Ovis aries: one gene and its partners. The protein of the gene in region 1 binds, or shares a complex with, the protein of each later gene. Links are inferred from orthologs where the notes say so. Each region holds a gene or a part of one and is shown on either strand. Other genes may lie near its edges.

What was found.
Region 2: the proteins of TNFSF13B (region 1) and TNFRSF17 are in contact, whole or in part, in a crystal structure (PDB 1OQD), measured with the Homo sapiens proteins. The link is inferred for Ovis aries from reciprocal best matches to the Homo sapiens genes TNFSF13B and TNFRSF17. Residues at the interface, in NP_006564.1 of Homo sapiens: Ser162, Tyr163, Lys204, Thr205, Tyr206, Ala207, Met208, Gly209, His210, Arg231, Cys232, Ile233, Glu238, Pro264, Arg265, Glu266, Asn267; in NP_001183.2 of Homo sapiens: Tyr13, Asp15, Ser16, Leu17, Leu18, His19, Ile22, Arg27, Ser29, Ser30, Asn31, Thr32, Pro33, Pro34, Leu35.
Region 3: the proteins of TNFSF13B (region 1) and TNFRSF13C are in contact, whole or in part, in a crystal structure (PDB 1OQE), measured with the Homo sapiens proteins. The link is inferred for Ovis aries from reciprocal best matches to the Homo sapiens genes TNFSF13B and TNFRSF13C. Residues at the interface, in NP_006564.1 of Homo sapiens: Ser162, Tyr163, Asp203, Thr205, Tyr206, Ala207, Met208, Gly209, His210, Leu211, Thr228, Arg231, Cys232, Ile233, Pro264, Arg265, Glu266, Asn267, Ala268; in NP_443177.1 of Homo sapiens: Asp26, Leu27, Leu28, Val29, Arg30, Val33, Leu37, Leu38, Arg39, Pro41, Arg42.

Annotation. Positions count from the first base shown.
Region 1 is NC_056063.1:83,041,711-83,046,327, forward strand, and holds part of TNFSF13B (tumor necrosis factor ligand superfamily member 13B), read left to right. Parts: intron 1-2,468; coding exon 2,469-2,581; intron 2,582-2,667; coding exon 2,668-2,818; intron 2,819-4,617. UniProt on the Homo sapiens protein: Cytokine that binds to TNFRSF13B/TACI and TNFRSF17/BCMA. TNFSF13/APRIL binds to the same 2 receptors. Together, they form a 2 ligands -2 receptors pathway involved in the stimulation of B- and T-cell function and the regulation of humoral immunity.
Region 2 is NC_056077.1:11,191,687-11,196,830, forward strand, and holds the start of TNFRSF17 (tumor necrosis factor receptor superfamily member 17), read left to right. Parts: upstream 1-1,883; 5' UTR 1,884-2,009; coding exon 2,010-2,127; intron 2,128-2,698; coding exon 2,699-2,830; intron 2,831-4,679; coding exon 4,680-4,966; 3' UTR 4,967-5,144. UniProt on the Homo sapiens protein: Receptor for TNFSF13B/BLyS/BAFF and TNFSF13/APRIL. Promotes B-cell survival and plays a role in the regulation of humoral immunity. Activates NF-kappa-B and JNK.
Region 3 is NC_056056.1:218,762,694-218,767,465, reverse strand, and holds TNFRSF13C (tumor necrosis factor receptor superfamily member 13C), read left to right. Parts: upstream 1-1,851; 5' UTR 1,852-1,904; coding exon 1,905-2,040; intron 2,041-2,401; coding exon 2,402-2,656; intron 2,657-3,170; coding exon 3,171-3,352; 3' UTR 3,353-3,811; downstream 3,812-4,772. UniProt on the Homo sapiens protein: B-cell receptor specific for TNFSF13B/TALL1/BAFF/BLyS. Promotes the survival of mature B-cells and the B-cell response.

The sequences.
Region 1 (4,617 bases):
CTTAGCAGCACGAATCGATGGAGTGCGCGCTGCGTGCCTGGCTCCACTCTTGGCCGCTGGGTGTCCGGCTGTCACTGTGGGATGGTCATCGCCTCGGCCTCAGCGTCAGCAGCACGGATCTATGCGTGCTCAGCCGTGTCTGGCTCTTTATGGCCCATGGACGGTAGCCCGCTAGGCTCCTCTGCCCGTGGAACCTTACAATCAAGAATGCTGGAGTGGGCTGCCATTGCCTACACCAAGGGATCTTCCCAACCCAGGGATCAAACCTGCATCGCTCGTGTCTCCTGCAAGTGGATTCTTTACCGCTCGTGCCGCCTGGGTGGAGTGTAATCCGTGCGTGTGTGTGTGTGTGCATGTGCTCTCATGTATGTGGGCAGGGTTGGGGGAGAAATATACACAGTACATAAAAACAAGTAGATGATTCTCTCTAACAATATTTCCAGCAAGATAAGATGAAGTGCCAAAAATAAAAGAGAGAATAAGAATAGAAGCCTAATAAGGTCTTGTTTTTCTTTTTCCTCTGACACTATAATGGTGAGATTTGGTAAGAACTGGCTAACTTTATAGGTATAAGTATGGTGTAGAGAAATAGGGGATCAATGTAAAGTATTGTAAAAAAAAATGTTGTAGTCAGTAAATATGTCTAGTCAGAATATGGGCGTGCAGACTTAGAAATACGTGTTTCACGTCAAGAGTTCATATTACCTCCCTGATGGAGAGTGTTTCATTTCCCAGAGATTCAGTAACCAGGTGGTAAGAGGCTTTTAAAACATGGAACGCTAGTGACTAATCGCACAGTACAATGATTAGTATGTATTTAAAGACATATTTGCTGCATTTGTTTTGGGGGTCAGGCATCATTTAAGGCCCTGAGGAAACAGCAGGGACCCAATCATGAACCGTCCCCAAGCTCAGAGAAGTTGGACTCTAAGATGTGTATGGTTTTGAAGGTGGACAAGAAGCCCTCTGTGCTCAGAGTGTCAAATAAAACGTGAAAATAGTTGCCTTCAGTCATCAGCTTGTATTTATAATTTTTAATAATAACAACCCTGATATTAATTCTTCCTCGCGTTTTCAGAACTCTACCTTAAAGAATGCTGTGGGCACGTGATCTCTAAACAGAATTTGAAGCTACAGCATTATAGTCTTTTCCCTGAAATGATGTCGTATGAAAACAGGCGATGATGAGGTTACCTCTGTTCTGTGTAACCAGGGAGATCTTTATTGGTGGACTGTCGTCACCCAGGGTGGCACTGGAGGGTTTGCACCATAGGAAGGGCTTTCTCGGAGACCATCTTTGGGAACAGAAAGCGGGGGGGATTGGGCTGCCCCCTGTGTGGGAACTGAGGAAAGGAAGGGTGAGCTGTAGAGGCCCCTCCCTGCTGCCTTCTCTCTCCTTTCTACCCCCACCCCTCAAAGAAGGGTAGAGGAAAATTTTTCTCCTCCCCAACAGACTCAAAGAGAAACTGAAAATCTCTTTCGGTGTGTTATTCAGAGACCTTTCTTTGGCCTCAAACGCTCCCATCCAGACTAGACATTATTATGAAAGTTGCTGAAATACAGAAGGGATCAAAACCCCAGACATGACATATGAAGCGCTTGCTTTCAACTTCCTGTATCTGATAGCTGGCCTGGGTGAGTATGTAAATGACGCTGAGAAATCGCCCGAAGATGGTCCCTTTTAAAAGATGAAATTCTCCTCTAAGTTTCACACTTAGGTTAGTAACTAAGCATGCTATCGAAAGGTATGTGAGTCGGGTCCAGCTGCTCACCGCTCAAAAGCCAAAAACCAGGCCCCTGGAAAGGAAAGTTTGCCTCATTTCAGATGCTGGCAACTTATGGGGGAGAGGGGTGGACACCTGTCCAAAGGCCGACTCCTCCCCCACCCCCTGCTTGTCAGCAGCGGGTGAGAGCTTCCATAGACAGAGTCAGGGGAGGGGGGCCACGTGCAGAAGCAGCACAGGCATCTCTGACAGTCATCCCCAGGGTGGTCGTCAGCCGTCTGACCAGCGTCGTCTTGGGCATTTCAGGTACAGTTAATCTTCAGTCCCAGGTGCACTGGTTTCATTTCTTTGTGGTTAATTCTCGGAACTGGGGCAGCTCGTGGCCTGGGTATGGTCTGGTCATCATTAGTTAACTCCTCCACCTGGGGTTTCAGTATCCATAAGACAGCTCACAGGATGTGGCTCAGAACGTGATCTGTAGCCCTCGAGAAGGAGCTGAGGGTCCTTGACGATGGCTAATGACTATTACTATCTAGTTTCCTGAGACTGTTCTCCTTTGTGCAGCATTTCTCACTTCTCTGATTAAACTTATTCTTTGACGAAAGTTTTCCATGGAAAAAGGGCAGGCAGGGGACATGGTCCGGGGGCAGGGGTCATAGAGTCCTGCTCTGTTTCAAATGGAGGTGAAAAACTGCGTCTCTCGGGGTTTTTCTTTTCCTTTAAAAACCGTTCTCTTCCTTGTAGGAGCGTACACCTTTGTTCCTTGGCTTCTCAGCTTTAAAAGAGGAAGAGCCCTAGAAGAAAAAGAGAATAAAATTTTGGTCAAAGAGACAGGCTACTTCTTTATCTACGGTCAGGTAGGTCTGACCTTGAACCCACCGCCGCTGTCCAACGCCCCCGTTTCGTGCTGACTTCTGACAAAGTTCTTTGGTTTGTTCCTCAGGTTTTATACACCGATAACACCTTTGCCATGGGACACCTAATACAGAGGAAAAAAGTCCATGTCTTTGGGGACGAACTGAGTCTGGTGACTTTGTTTCGATGTATTCAAAACATGCCTGAAACACTACCCAATAATTCCTGTTACTCAGCTGGTAAATAACAGTTCTATATACATAGACAGAAAGACATACTGTGTGGGTTTTATGGTCTCAAATGATAAGTTAGTCTGTTTTGATAGAGACAGATGCGATCATTACTTTAGATTTTAATTATTAGCTAACTAGTTACTAGTAAGTTTATCGGTTTTATATACGTTTAGAAAGGGCAGTAGCTTCACAGTGATCCACTCTAGAACAAGCTGTGTTTTCTTGGAGCTGTGGTAAGAGTGCTTGCATCATAAGAAAGTGATGACCTGTGCCAGGCACACCCATCCATGCTCCCTGCTTTAATCCTCCTTTAAAAAGGGAGGTGGGGACTGAGACACAGAGACGGAGCACACATGGTCTGGGGCTGCACGGCTGATCCACTCCAGAACTTGGTTTAAATCAGCCAGTGTGCCCTGAGTGGGAGTCATGGAATCTCACCTCTTCTTTACCTCCCTCCTGTGGAAGAAATGCCCTTTGGCCAGTTTTGAATGTCAGATCCAGGGGCACCGTTTCTCTTCTGGGGTCAGTGGACACCAGATGGATGAGGGTGGGATGCGAAAGGGTAGGAGTGAGCCTGCCCTTCAACTCAGGGCCAGAGGACCGGAGAGGAAAGAGGACGTGCAGGCTGCCTTCATTTCAGGTCTGTCTGGGCTGTGATTGCCTTCAGTTATTGTTATTCAGCCGCTAAGCTGTGTCTCACTCTTTGGAACCCGTGGACTGCAGCGCGCCAGCTCCCCCTGTCCTTCGCTAATCTCCCAGAGTTCACTCAAACTCATGTCCATTGAGTCAGTGATGCCATCCAACCATCTCAGCCAAACAAGTTGCCATCAAAGCCTTCATTTTATTTGGGGGTAATTCCAAACTAATCAAGGCCAGTACTTGGAAAAAAAGTTGCCTTAAACACATTTATTTCTCTCTGGTGGTTTTGACAACTCCACTCACGACCCCAAGGAATGTCTTCCTTTCCAGACCGCGTGAATGACAGTGTGGAACGCACAGTGGGGGTTGGCTGTGTGTTCTGAAGCTGTATGTTCCAAAGGCACGTACTGACAAGTGCGCCAGGAATCAAGACAGAAAGGATAATAATGCAGATGCTTGCCATTCTGGACCCACAGCCGTAAAGAGCTTTGACGGGGTGCTGAGGAAGTCTGCTTAGATTTGAATTCCCTAATTTTCACAGAGAACTGTTATCCTGCAGCCTGTGGTAACCAGTATTTCTTGTTGCAAAATACCTATAAATTGTGAGGTCACTTCAGCCTGTCGTTTACTTACATTAATTAGCACTTAGAGCTTTACAACAGACTCCTTTATAAATTTTTCTGATCATCAGCTCCTCAAGGTTACTTCCTAGCCTTATTTTTTAAGATTAAATAACTTGACCTTAAAGGTATATCTCAGTGCTGATAGCTTAGCATCATTTACAAAAAGTGTTCTTCTAGGAAACTTCAGGTTTGCAGTTTTTATCTGTTCTAGAGAAACTCTGTTTTACAATCATTAAAAGCTACACATCGGTGTATAAAGTGTTTCCATAATAATCTGAAAAAAATTAAAGTGGTCCATTTGAAGAGCCCAGTATCACACCAAGGAACCTCTCTTGTACACAAAACTGATTCTTATTCATTATGTCATTAACAAATTAGCAATTGCTACCATCTGGAAGAACTGAAATAGCCAGGAACTCAGTGTTGAAATTTTAAGTAGGACCTACTTTGAAAAGTAGTTAGTTCACACCGACTTTGAGAATTACTGTTACCAAATGATCTGTGAACTATAGCCTTTGTCAAATTATTAGATTATCTTGAGTA
Region 2 (5,144 bases), on another chromosome or scaffold:
GTATTTCTGATTGACTTCTTTGGACATTTCCATATGGGTATCTCTCAGTATGATTAAATGCAAACACACGTGATTCCATTTATGTAAAAGGAATGTGCTACATGAATCAATCATTCGATCAATCAATCTGGTCACCTACAGAAGTCCTTCCAGAAACATCTATATCACGAATTGGCTAAATAAAACACGTTGGCAATAGCATGGGGGACTCCACTCTGTAATAACCCATATGGGAAAAGAGTATGAAAAAGAATAGATATGAGAATATGTATAACTGAATCACTTTGTATAATACAACATCATAAATCAACTATACTCCAATATAAAGTGAAAACAAACAAACAAAGAACACACTGGTAGGCCTGTTTGCAAATTCTGTTTCACACACCCCAATATTAACGGTGATTATTTCTGTATGCTATGACTATGGATAATTTTGCTATATGCACAACTGTTTTTTCGAAGTTTTTAACAGTGGAACACAGACATTGGAACATTCAATAGACATTGGCTAGACGTCCAACAGTGGAATATAGACATGACATAGACATATGTTATAATATTATGTTAATTTATTGTTGTTGTTCAGTTGCTAAGTCTTGTCCGACTCTTTTTGACCCCATGGACTGTAGCACACCAGGCTTCCCTGTCCTTCACTATCTCCCAGAGTTTGGTCAAACTCATATACATTGAGTCAGTGATGCCATCCAACCATCTCATCCTCTGTCACCCGCTTCTTCTCCTGCCTTCAGTCTTTCCCAGCATCAGGGTCTTTTCCAATGAGTTGGCTCTTCACATCAGATGGCCAAAGTGCTGGAGCTTCGGCTTCAGCATCAGTCCTTCCAATGAATATTCAGTGTTGATTTCTTTCAGGATTGACTGGTTTGATTTCCATGCTGTCCAAGGAACTCTCGAGAGTCTTCTCCAGTACCACAACTCGAAAGCATTATATTAATAGTCATATATTATTATTATGTCCCAAATATGTCTTCCTCTAGCCCTCTTTTACCTACCTCTTTTTTTTTTTTAACCTATTTTACCCTAGAAGTAAAAATAGAAGTTGCCTCTTTTACCCTAGAAGTCTCTATTTGTTGGAATTCTGGGATTCTTCCTAGGTTTAAAACTTGGTAGTCATGCTTCATACTCCTTTTTTCTCACATTCTTCTTTCTTAAAAAAAAATTGTTCATTTGGCTTCATGGTCTTAGTTTCGACATGCAGAATCTTTAGTTGCAGCAAATGAATGCTCAGTGGGATCTAGTTCCCTGACCAGAGATCGAACCCGGGCCCCCTGCATTGGGCATGTGGAGTCTTAGCCACTGGATTACCAGGGAAGTCTCCCCCTCTCACATCCTCTCTTCCCACTATACTTTGTGGTTATTTGAGTGCATTTCTATCTCCTCTAAGAAATGGCAACCCACTCCAGTATTCTTGCCTGAAAAATCCTATGGACAGAGGAGCCTGGTGGGCTCCAGTCCAAAGGGTCTCAAAGAGTTTGACACAACTGAGTGACTAAACAGGCCTCCTCACTGTCTCCTCTGTTAGGTTTTAAGTTCTTCAGTGGCTCAGACCTTGTCTTATCTCTCTCCTTGGGGCCCATCACACAGGACAGCTCACAGAACAGATGCTCCAGAAATGGTTACTGAACCTTTTGCTTGATGCTTCAGGCTTGTTGACAATGCCACAATTGTCACCTGCCTGAGAAATTTCTTCTATAAATAAATAGTTTCTGTTTCAAGTATGGTTTGCTCTTGCTGCATATACCCCCTCTCTTACTCCACTCAAGCCTCAAACTTAGAAACTGGAATTAGTGTTGGTATTCAAATCCTTAGCCACAGTGCAAAGAGTCAGCCCCCTTAAGAACCAAGTCATCAGTGTGAAGTTTGTTTTCTTCCTCGACATTCCGGCTGCCGTCACTACATTTGCTGAGGAATTCTCAACAAGAGCTCACTTGTCCTTCCATGCCATTCTTTCTGCGGTTTCCTTGTTTCTTTTTGTGATCCAGTTCCAGATGGCTCAGCGGTGCTCCCCAAACGAGTATTTTGACAGATTGCTGAATTCTTGCATATCGTGTCAACTTCGGTGCCCTAATACTCCTCCCATAATATGTCAGCATTATTGTAACACAAGTAAGTAATCCTGTTTGAATGATCACTCATTGGTGTGAAGTATTTGCTCTGTGTGTGTGTGTGCTTAGTTGCTCAGCTGTGTCTGACCCTTTGTGACACTATGGACTGTAACCCACCAGGCTCCTCTATCCATGGGGATTCTCCAGGCAAGAATACTGGAGTGGGTTGCCATGCCTTCCTCCATGGGAATCTCCCCAACCCAGGTCTCCCACGTTGCAGGCAGATTCTTTACCCTCTGAGCCACCAGGGAAGCCCAAGAATACTGGAGTTGACTGTTTATTCAAAGAAGAAACATTATGGGAAGGTGGTGAGATTTTCTGAATCAAAAAGAGAAAGAAAATAAGGCAATCATTTAAATGCCAACAGGAATGGATACTTTTTCAGAGCTCAACTCTATTTTATTCTGCAATCTTAGCAACATAGATTTTTATCATCTCTCCTAATTAAGTATTAACTTAGAATTTAAAAGTCAAAGCTGAGGAATTAGGGGAACTGGATGGCAAATAATCTTTACCTGATGTGAATATTATGTTATCAAGTTCATTCTCTCTCTGACGTTCTTTTGATTCAGTGAAAGGAACAAATACATTTCTCTGGACCTGTTTGGGCCTGAGCTTGATAGTTTCCTTGACAGTTTTCGTATTGATGTTCTTGCTAAGGAAGATGAGCTCCGAACCATTAAAGGACAAACTTAAAAACACAGGTTGGTTTGATGGTTGATCTTTGAAATCTCTTTCCAAGAGGTGGCTATTGTGAATTTCAATTCCTTTTTTTCCTTTCATGTTGTGTATCTCATCTGGTAAGTGCCCTTTTGGGTATGTTAGATGACAGTTGGGTTAAATGAACTTGGGAGAAGGGAGCTTCCTTTCTGATGTTTACACCTTCTTTGTTGATATCGTACCATGTCAGCCTTCTTCAACATTCTTCCTTTGGTATTTACTCTTTTGAAGTACTGAGGCCTCTTTGGGAAATATCCATCTCTTTGACCAACGTCAGGACATTGATTAAACATCACACTATCAGAAATAGCTAGCCGGGTCTGGTACTATCCGAAAAAAATGTATTTGACAAGATTGGTGGCCGTATTTTTATACAAATACAAGTGGTGTTTGCTCAGATGAACAGTCTACTGCTGAAAAAAAGCTAGAAATGAATACCAATTGCTCCTGGATTATTTAAGCAATCATCTCAAAGATCTTTATTAAGCAGTAGAGAATCAGTCCCAGAGAAGTGAATATTCTGTGGAAGAGTTTTTTTTTTTTTGAAGAGTTTCTTAAGAGAAAAATATTTCGGCACCTTTGCCCATGATCTAATTTCTAGACCGCTTTGCAGTCATTGCCCTATTTCTTTATGTGTGTATTTTCCATGCAGAATCTATAAGGCAACATTTCGTCTGCTTTCTAGTGCAGAACGGGGAGGAAGATGGCTGTTTCATATCATTTACTCATTTCTCTTTTTTTGCCTGGGGCCTGAGAGACAGATGGGGAGTGACTTTAAGTGTGACATTTTGGACGATGGAGGTATACCATGGAACGTTGGGAAAGTATTAAAACATGCCTGCGCAGGAGTGTGATGGGGACACAGCGGAGACTCCTTCCTTATGGGATCATGAAAGTTTCATTAAAAAAAAAAAGTAATCTGCCCAATGCGCTGTAAGAGAAACATCTTTACTTTGAATTGTGAAGTGTCACCCAAGACTCATTTTGGTATGCTGTAACACACGCTGAGCCGTCAGTTCACAGTTGTAAAAAGGGTCGGTATCTTAATGCATCCAAGGGCCAAGTGGGTCAGAAACGAATGTAGTGGGTCACTGGAGGTTCGGTGATAGGGGACCGCGTGCCCAGCCTGAGGAAGACAAAGGCTATGGACTTCCAAGTGTTTTCTTGTGGGAATGTCAGTTCCCACTGGCCACATTTTTTGTCTTAAAAAAAAAATAAGGTAAAAGAGGGACTTCCAGGGTGGTCCACTGGTTAAGACTCTGTGCTTCCACCGAAGAGGGTATGACTTTGATCCCTGGTGGGGGAAATTCTGCGACCCTTTGGACTTTGTGACCCTGTGAACTGTAGCCCACCAAGCTCCTCTGTCTGTGGGATTCTCCAGGCAAGAATACTGGAGTGGGTTGCCATTTCCTCCTCCAGTGGATCTTCCTGACCCAGGGATTGAAACTGTGTCTCCGTGTCTCTGCAGTGCAGGCGGATTCTTTACCGCTAAATCACCTGGGAAGCACCCCCAAGTCATGAGATGTGGCCACAAAAAAGAGAGAGAGATCAGTTGTCTAGATTTGTATGTACAATCTCTTGATTTTCAAACGCGGGCCAACATTAAACAGATAAGCAAACACTGTAAAAATACTGTGTGCCATAAAGCGAGCATGTCTTTGAACCCAACATGGTCCATGGTCTTTCAGCTCATGACTTGGGGTGTAAGGCCTGCTTCTTTTGGGGAAAGACTTTTGGCTCCTGTTGCTTTGATCCCTGATGCATGCTGCTAAGTGTGGCACAACCAAGCACCCTGAAAGCTTTAGGATAACGGTTCTGTTTTTGTGCAATCAGGAGCGGTTCTCCAGAAGAATGCTAACGCAGACCTGGATGTTAACAATAACAGCAGTATTGTGGCTGAACCTCTTCTTTTGAGAGGCCTGGGGTACACAGTAGAAGAATGTACGTGTGAAGACTGTGTCAGGAGCAAACCGAAGGTCGATTCTGACCATTTCTTCCCCCTCCCAGCCATGGAGGAAGGCGCGACCATTCTTGTCACCACGAAAACAAATGGCTACTGCGACAGTCTGCTAGCTGCCACCAGTGTCACGGGGATGGAGAAATCAATTTATACCAGATAATTAACCATGTTAAGGGTATAGAGTTACTTGGAAAATCTTTGTCCTAAGGGAAGGATGGTGTCTCAGATCTCTTTAAGATGATTGTATTTATCAGCAGATGATATGGCTTTCCGTCCTCTAATTTTGGAAAATCTTTATGTTAGCTATATTTTTCTACCTTATTGTTGGGAGCTTAACT
Region 3 (4,772 bases), on another chromosome or scaffold:
TGCCCCCCAGGAGGGCCTGCCCTGCCCTGGCTCCTGGGCCGGCTCCTGGCTCCCCCACCCCCTCAACACACACCCACACTTACACCCACACCCCCACCCCAGGCCCACTTCTCCTTTGCAGTTGCCCCACCGCCTACACCTTCCTGCCATGGAGTTGCTGGCCCGTAGGCAGGGGACGGAGAGGCAGTGGGCCCTGGTCTCCTGAAGGCCGGCTGTCTGAGTTTCTGAAGCCAGAAACCTGGGGGCGGCCTAGCCCCACTCCCCTCATTCCATCACGTCCCTCTTTCCTCCGGAACAACTGCTGGCTTGTTCCCCGGCCCTGGGCTGTGGTGCCAGCCTCCTTGCTGCGCTGCCCACCCTGGCCAGGCTGCAGCTCCACAGCAGCAGGCAGAGGGTCCCTTTGAAGGCACAGCTCAAAGAATCTCACCCACTCCAACACCTCCTGGGGCTCCTCACCCCCCCCAGGGCCTGTGGCTCGAGGCCTGGCCCGGACCCCCAAGGCAGCAGCCAAGCTTCCCCTTGCCCCTCTCTTGCTTGCGAACTTGTCCGTCCCACCTTCTGTCGGCAAGGTTTCCCTCCTGCTTGAGCCACTAAAGATCTACTCCTGGCCCTGAGTCCCCTCCCTGCTCCCTGGACAGTTACTCTTTCCTCTGTGCACCTCCAGCCCTGCGTGCTTAGGGGTCTGGTACGGCCCACCACGAGGGCACCAAGTCCATGCTCCTTCCTGAGGCTCTTTGCTAGCCTCGGCCCCCCGCCACTCCAGGTAGGGGGTCCAGCATCTGTCCAGGAAGGCCAAGGGGGCTGTGTGTCTGCCTGAGACTCGGCCCGAGAGACACAGGTGAGAGTCAGGTGGGGCTGCCCCAAACACTAGGGAGTAGAGAGACAGAAGGGGCCTTGATGAGACAGAGGGGTGAGCAGCCTGGACACACACAGCCCTGGGAAAAAGAAGTCGAGGTGGGTGGGCTGCCTACCGCCTCCTGGGCCTTGGTCTGTCTATCTGTTTACTGGTTGGTCTGAGTCTCCCTCTTGCTTAAGAGCTAGAGACTGAGCTATCCCTGGACCTAACCCATCTATGCACTCTGTTCCAGCCAGTGCTTAACAGGCAGGTCTGACTGGGACACTTCCTGCTGAAAGCCCTCCATGGCGCCCCAGTGCCCGTGCAGCCAGTCTTGGCTTCTCTCAGTCAAAGCCCCAGCCCCGCCCTCTGGTCCCAACACTACCTGGCCTTTGGATTTGGCCGAAGGCCTTTGTTTACACTGCCTGCTCCAGTGGACCTCACTCCATCTAGCAAACACCTGCTTGTCCTGTCCATAAAGTTGCCCTGTCCACGAAGCTTCCCTGTCCCCCGGTGGGGATCACCTTCAGTGATGCTGCGGCAGAGAGGCACTCCCTCCTCCAGTGCCACCTCCGAGTGCGGGAGTCCCCCGGGGGCCTGGGACAGTGTGGGCACTCCGGTTGTGTTTGAGGATCTGACCAGCGCTGCCTAAGAAGCACAGGAGGGCTCCCCGGAGGAGGAGGCAGGAAGGGAAAGAGGACTGGTGAGGATGGCCTGGGACTACAGGCTGGCCTTGGGGAGGCCACCTCAGAGCTCTGTATCCTGCTTAAGGGGCCCATCCTCTGTGCCCCAAGATCAAGCCCCCGGGTCTCAGTCCCAGCCTGATTTCAGAGCCCAGAATAGGGCCCGCCCCATGGTTGTCTAGGGGTGATGGTTGAATGGAGAAACCACAGAGAGAAGGTCTGGGGTGCTGGTCCGCGGGCTAAGAGTGGTCCCACTCCAGCAGGCAGGAGGGCGGGCTGGGGCGGAGTGGGTGGCGCCCCGCCCGGTTCCCTCCCCGCGGGGCAGCAGAGGCCAGACTCGTCCCGGCGGCGGGGGGTATGCGCAGAAGGCTAGAGGCTCCGGCAGCATGCCGCGAGGGCGGAGAAGCCTGCGGGGCAAGGACCGGCCGGCACCCACGCAGTGCCTGCAGACCCAGTGCTTCGACCCGCTGGTCCGCAACTGTGTGGCCTGCAGTCTCCTCCGGACGACGGAGCCTAGGCTGGGTAAGAGTCGAGCCGCGCCGCATGGCGCGCGCACGGGGCCGCCCTGGAGCGGGAGGGAGGGGGATGCTAGGAGTCGCAGGCAGGCCCCCCCCAACCCCCGCCGCCGCCCTGTCCCGGGACTGTGGGGAGGGGCGGGGTCTCGGGTTAACTGGCGAGGTGGGGTGGGAAATGTGAGCCGGGGGCCTGGAGGGGGGACCAGCCGTCGGCGCGTGGCCCTCACGGCCCCCTCTCGCCCCTCGGCCTGCGCTGCCCCGCCCGGCCGTCCCCCCCTTCCGCGGCCCAGCCTCACCTTCCTCCGGCCCTCCCCCTCCCCACGCCCCCCTCCCCTCCGCCCCCTGCTCCCCCTGCCCGTCCCCTCCAGCAGGCGGCCCAAGCAGCCTGGCGCCCGGGACGGCGCTGCAGCCGCAGGAGTCGGCGGGCCCCGGGACCCCCGCGGAGGCCGAAGCGGCGCTGCCGCTCCCGGCGCTGCTCTTCGGAGCCCCCGCGCTGCTGGGCCTGGCGCTGGCCCTGGCCCTGATCGGGCTGGTGACCTGGAAGCGCCGGCGGCGGCAGCCGGGCGCGGCGGTGGTCCCTGAGGCTCCGGAGGCCGCGGAGGCCCCGGACGGAGACCCAGACAGTAAGTTCCTCGTCTAGGGGACCGGAGAGGGTTGGGGGCCGTCGGAGGGGAGGCATGATCCTTGAGGGGTCCGAGGGGGTCTGGGTGAACGGGGAGGGATGGTCTGAAGGAGGCAAGGCCGAGGGGAGAGAAATAGTCCGACCAGAGACCGGCAATCCAGGCGAGGGACACAGCTCTAGCGTCCCAGACCTGTGTGAAGAAGAAATCCAAGGCTGGGGAGCCCAGTTGGGGGTGGGGGTGGCCTGTCCCGCCCTCTCTCTGGGACAGGCAGACCGGTTCCCACCTCTCCTCGCCCTCTGTCAGCACTGGCATTTTGCCAGCCAGCTCTAGAAACTTCCCGTCCTGAGGGCCCATCACGTGCCACCCCTCCCCATCCCACCAGTGGGGCTTTATCAGCTGACTGCTCTCCCATCAGTCAGAGGGCTGTCCCGCCAGGGAGGCTTCCAGAACAGGGGGTGGGGACGGCTGCGAGCCAATCCTGACCCTGCACCACCCACAACTCTCTCCACCCCAGAGCCCCTGGATGTTGATACCACACTCTCCCCCGGAACCCTGGATGCCACGGCTCCCATCTGGCTTCTGCCCAGTGAAGACCCAGCGGCCACCCCACCTACCCACAGCGTCCCTGTGCCAGCCACAGAGCTGGGTTCCACTGAGCTGGTGACCACCAAGACGACCGGGCCTGAGCTACAGTAGCGACCGAGGAGGGCAGGAGGCGGCCCCCACCCTTTCTATGGGCCACCAGCTGGACTCGAAGGTTGAATTCAGTTCTTCACTCCGGCGCCCACTGTCCCTTCTGGAAGCTCCCCCGCTAACCCTGCAGAACTACAGACACCCAGACCACAGAGTTTGGACTGCATGGCATTGTACTGCGTGTTAGCATTTGGCTTAAACTCATACTGGGCTGCCCAGGTGGCGCTAGCGGTAAAGAATCTTCTGCTAATGCAGGAGACATTAAGAGAGGCGGGTTTGATCCCTGGGTTGGGAAGATCTCCTGGAGGAGGAAATGGCAACCCACTCCAGCACTCTTGCCTGGAGAATCCCATGGACAGAGGAGCCTGGCGGTTACATTCCATGGGGTTGCAAAGAGTTGGACACGACTGAGTGACCACAAATACACAAAATAAACTCATACCATCTGTCATAGTCCTCAAAGGTAGTGGCTGAGCTCTGTGCTCTTTCAGTGGTTGGGATACTCTGAGTAGAGTTTTTCTTTAAGCTTGGGGAAACCACCATAAACCAGAATGAATCTAGGAAAGCACTGAGTAGGAGGATGCTTAATTTGCAGCCGGGTTGTGTTTAATACTTGCTCTCAGAGCTGTCCCGCTTTTAAACCGATGCAAATGGCAGCAGTGAGTAACCAACTGACCGGTTTGCTTTGGGATTTATTACAAGATGAGTTTAAGAAATAGCCTGAATTGTGCTGGTTATTGGGTATCTGTATCCTAGGGTCACCCCTGAGCTTGGCCCAACCTGCTAAGATCTGTGATGCCATTTTTGCCCTGGTGGCAGCTTCCAGAGCCCCATGCTCATGCTTGGGAAGAAGTCTAGAGCCTGTGGGGCTGGACTGCAGTTGCACACTGATGGCATGCTGACAGCACGTCAGCATGAGCCCACCTGGAGTGCTAGCGGCTTCCGGGGCACACAGAGCTGTATACAGGGCAGGGCCCAGGACCTGCAGGAGGCTTCTTAGTTAGGAGGCCAGGGCAGGCCTGTGCCCTCAAACCAGCTGGACCTGATGTCCTTTGAGTGCCCTTCGCTCTGTGGCCTGTGCTCCCCAAGTCAGGCATCCACCACCCCAGTGGAACTATTCCTCTGACGGGGTGCCCCCTGCCCTGGGGCCTGGAACCAAGACCTCTCTCTCCCAGTTCTGGACCACGCTGTGCGCTCAGTCAGCTGCTGGCTTTCCTGCCAAACCTCCTGCGATCAGGAGGGTTAGATCCTGCTGACCTGGACTCTACCCTGACTATGGCCTTGGAATTTGTCACAGTTTAGCACCCTTGGTAGGGGCAAGGGATTGGGGAGTCAGAAGATGGTACTCTGAGTATACCATGTCATCCTCCTTGTAGGTTCTTGACCATATTAGTTTCTCTTTTTTGGGCCATGCTGCACACCT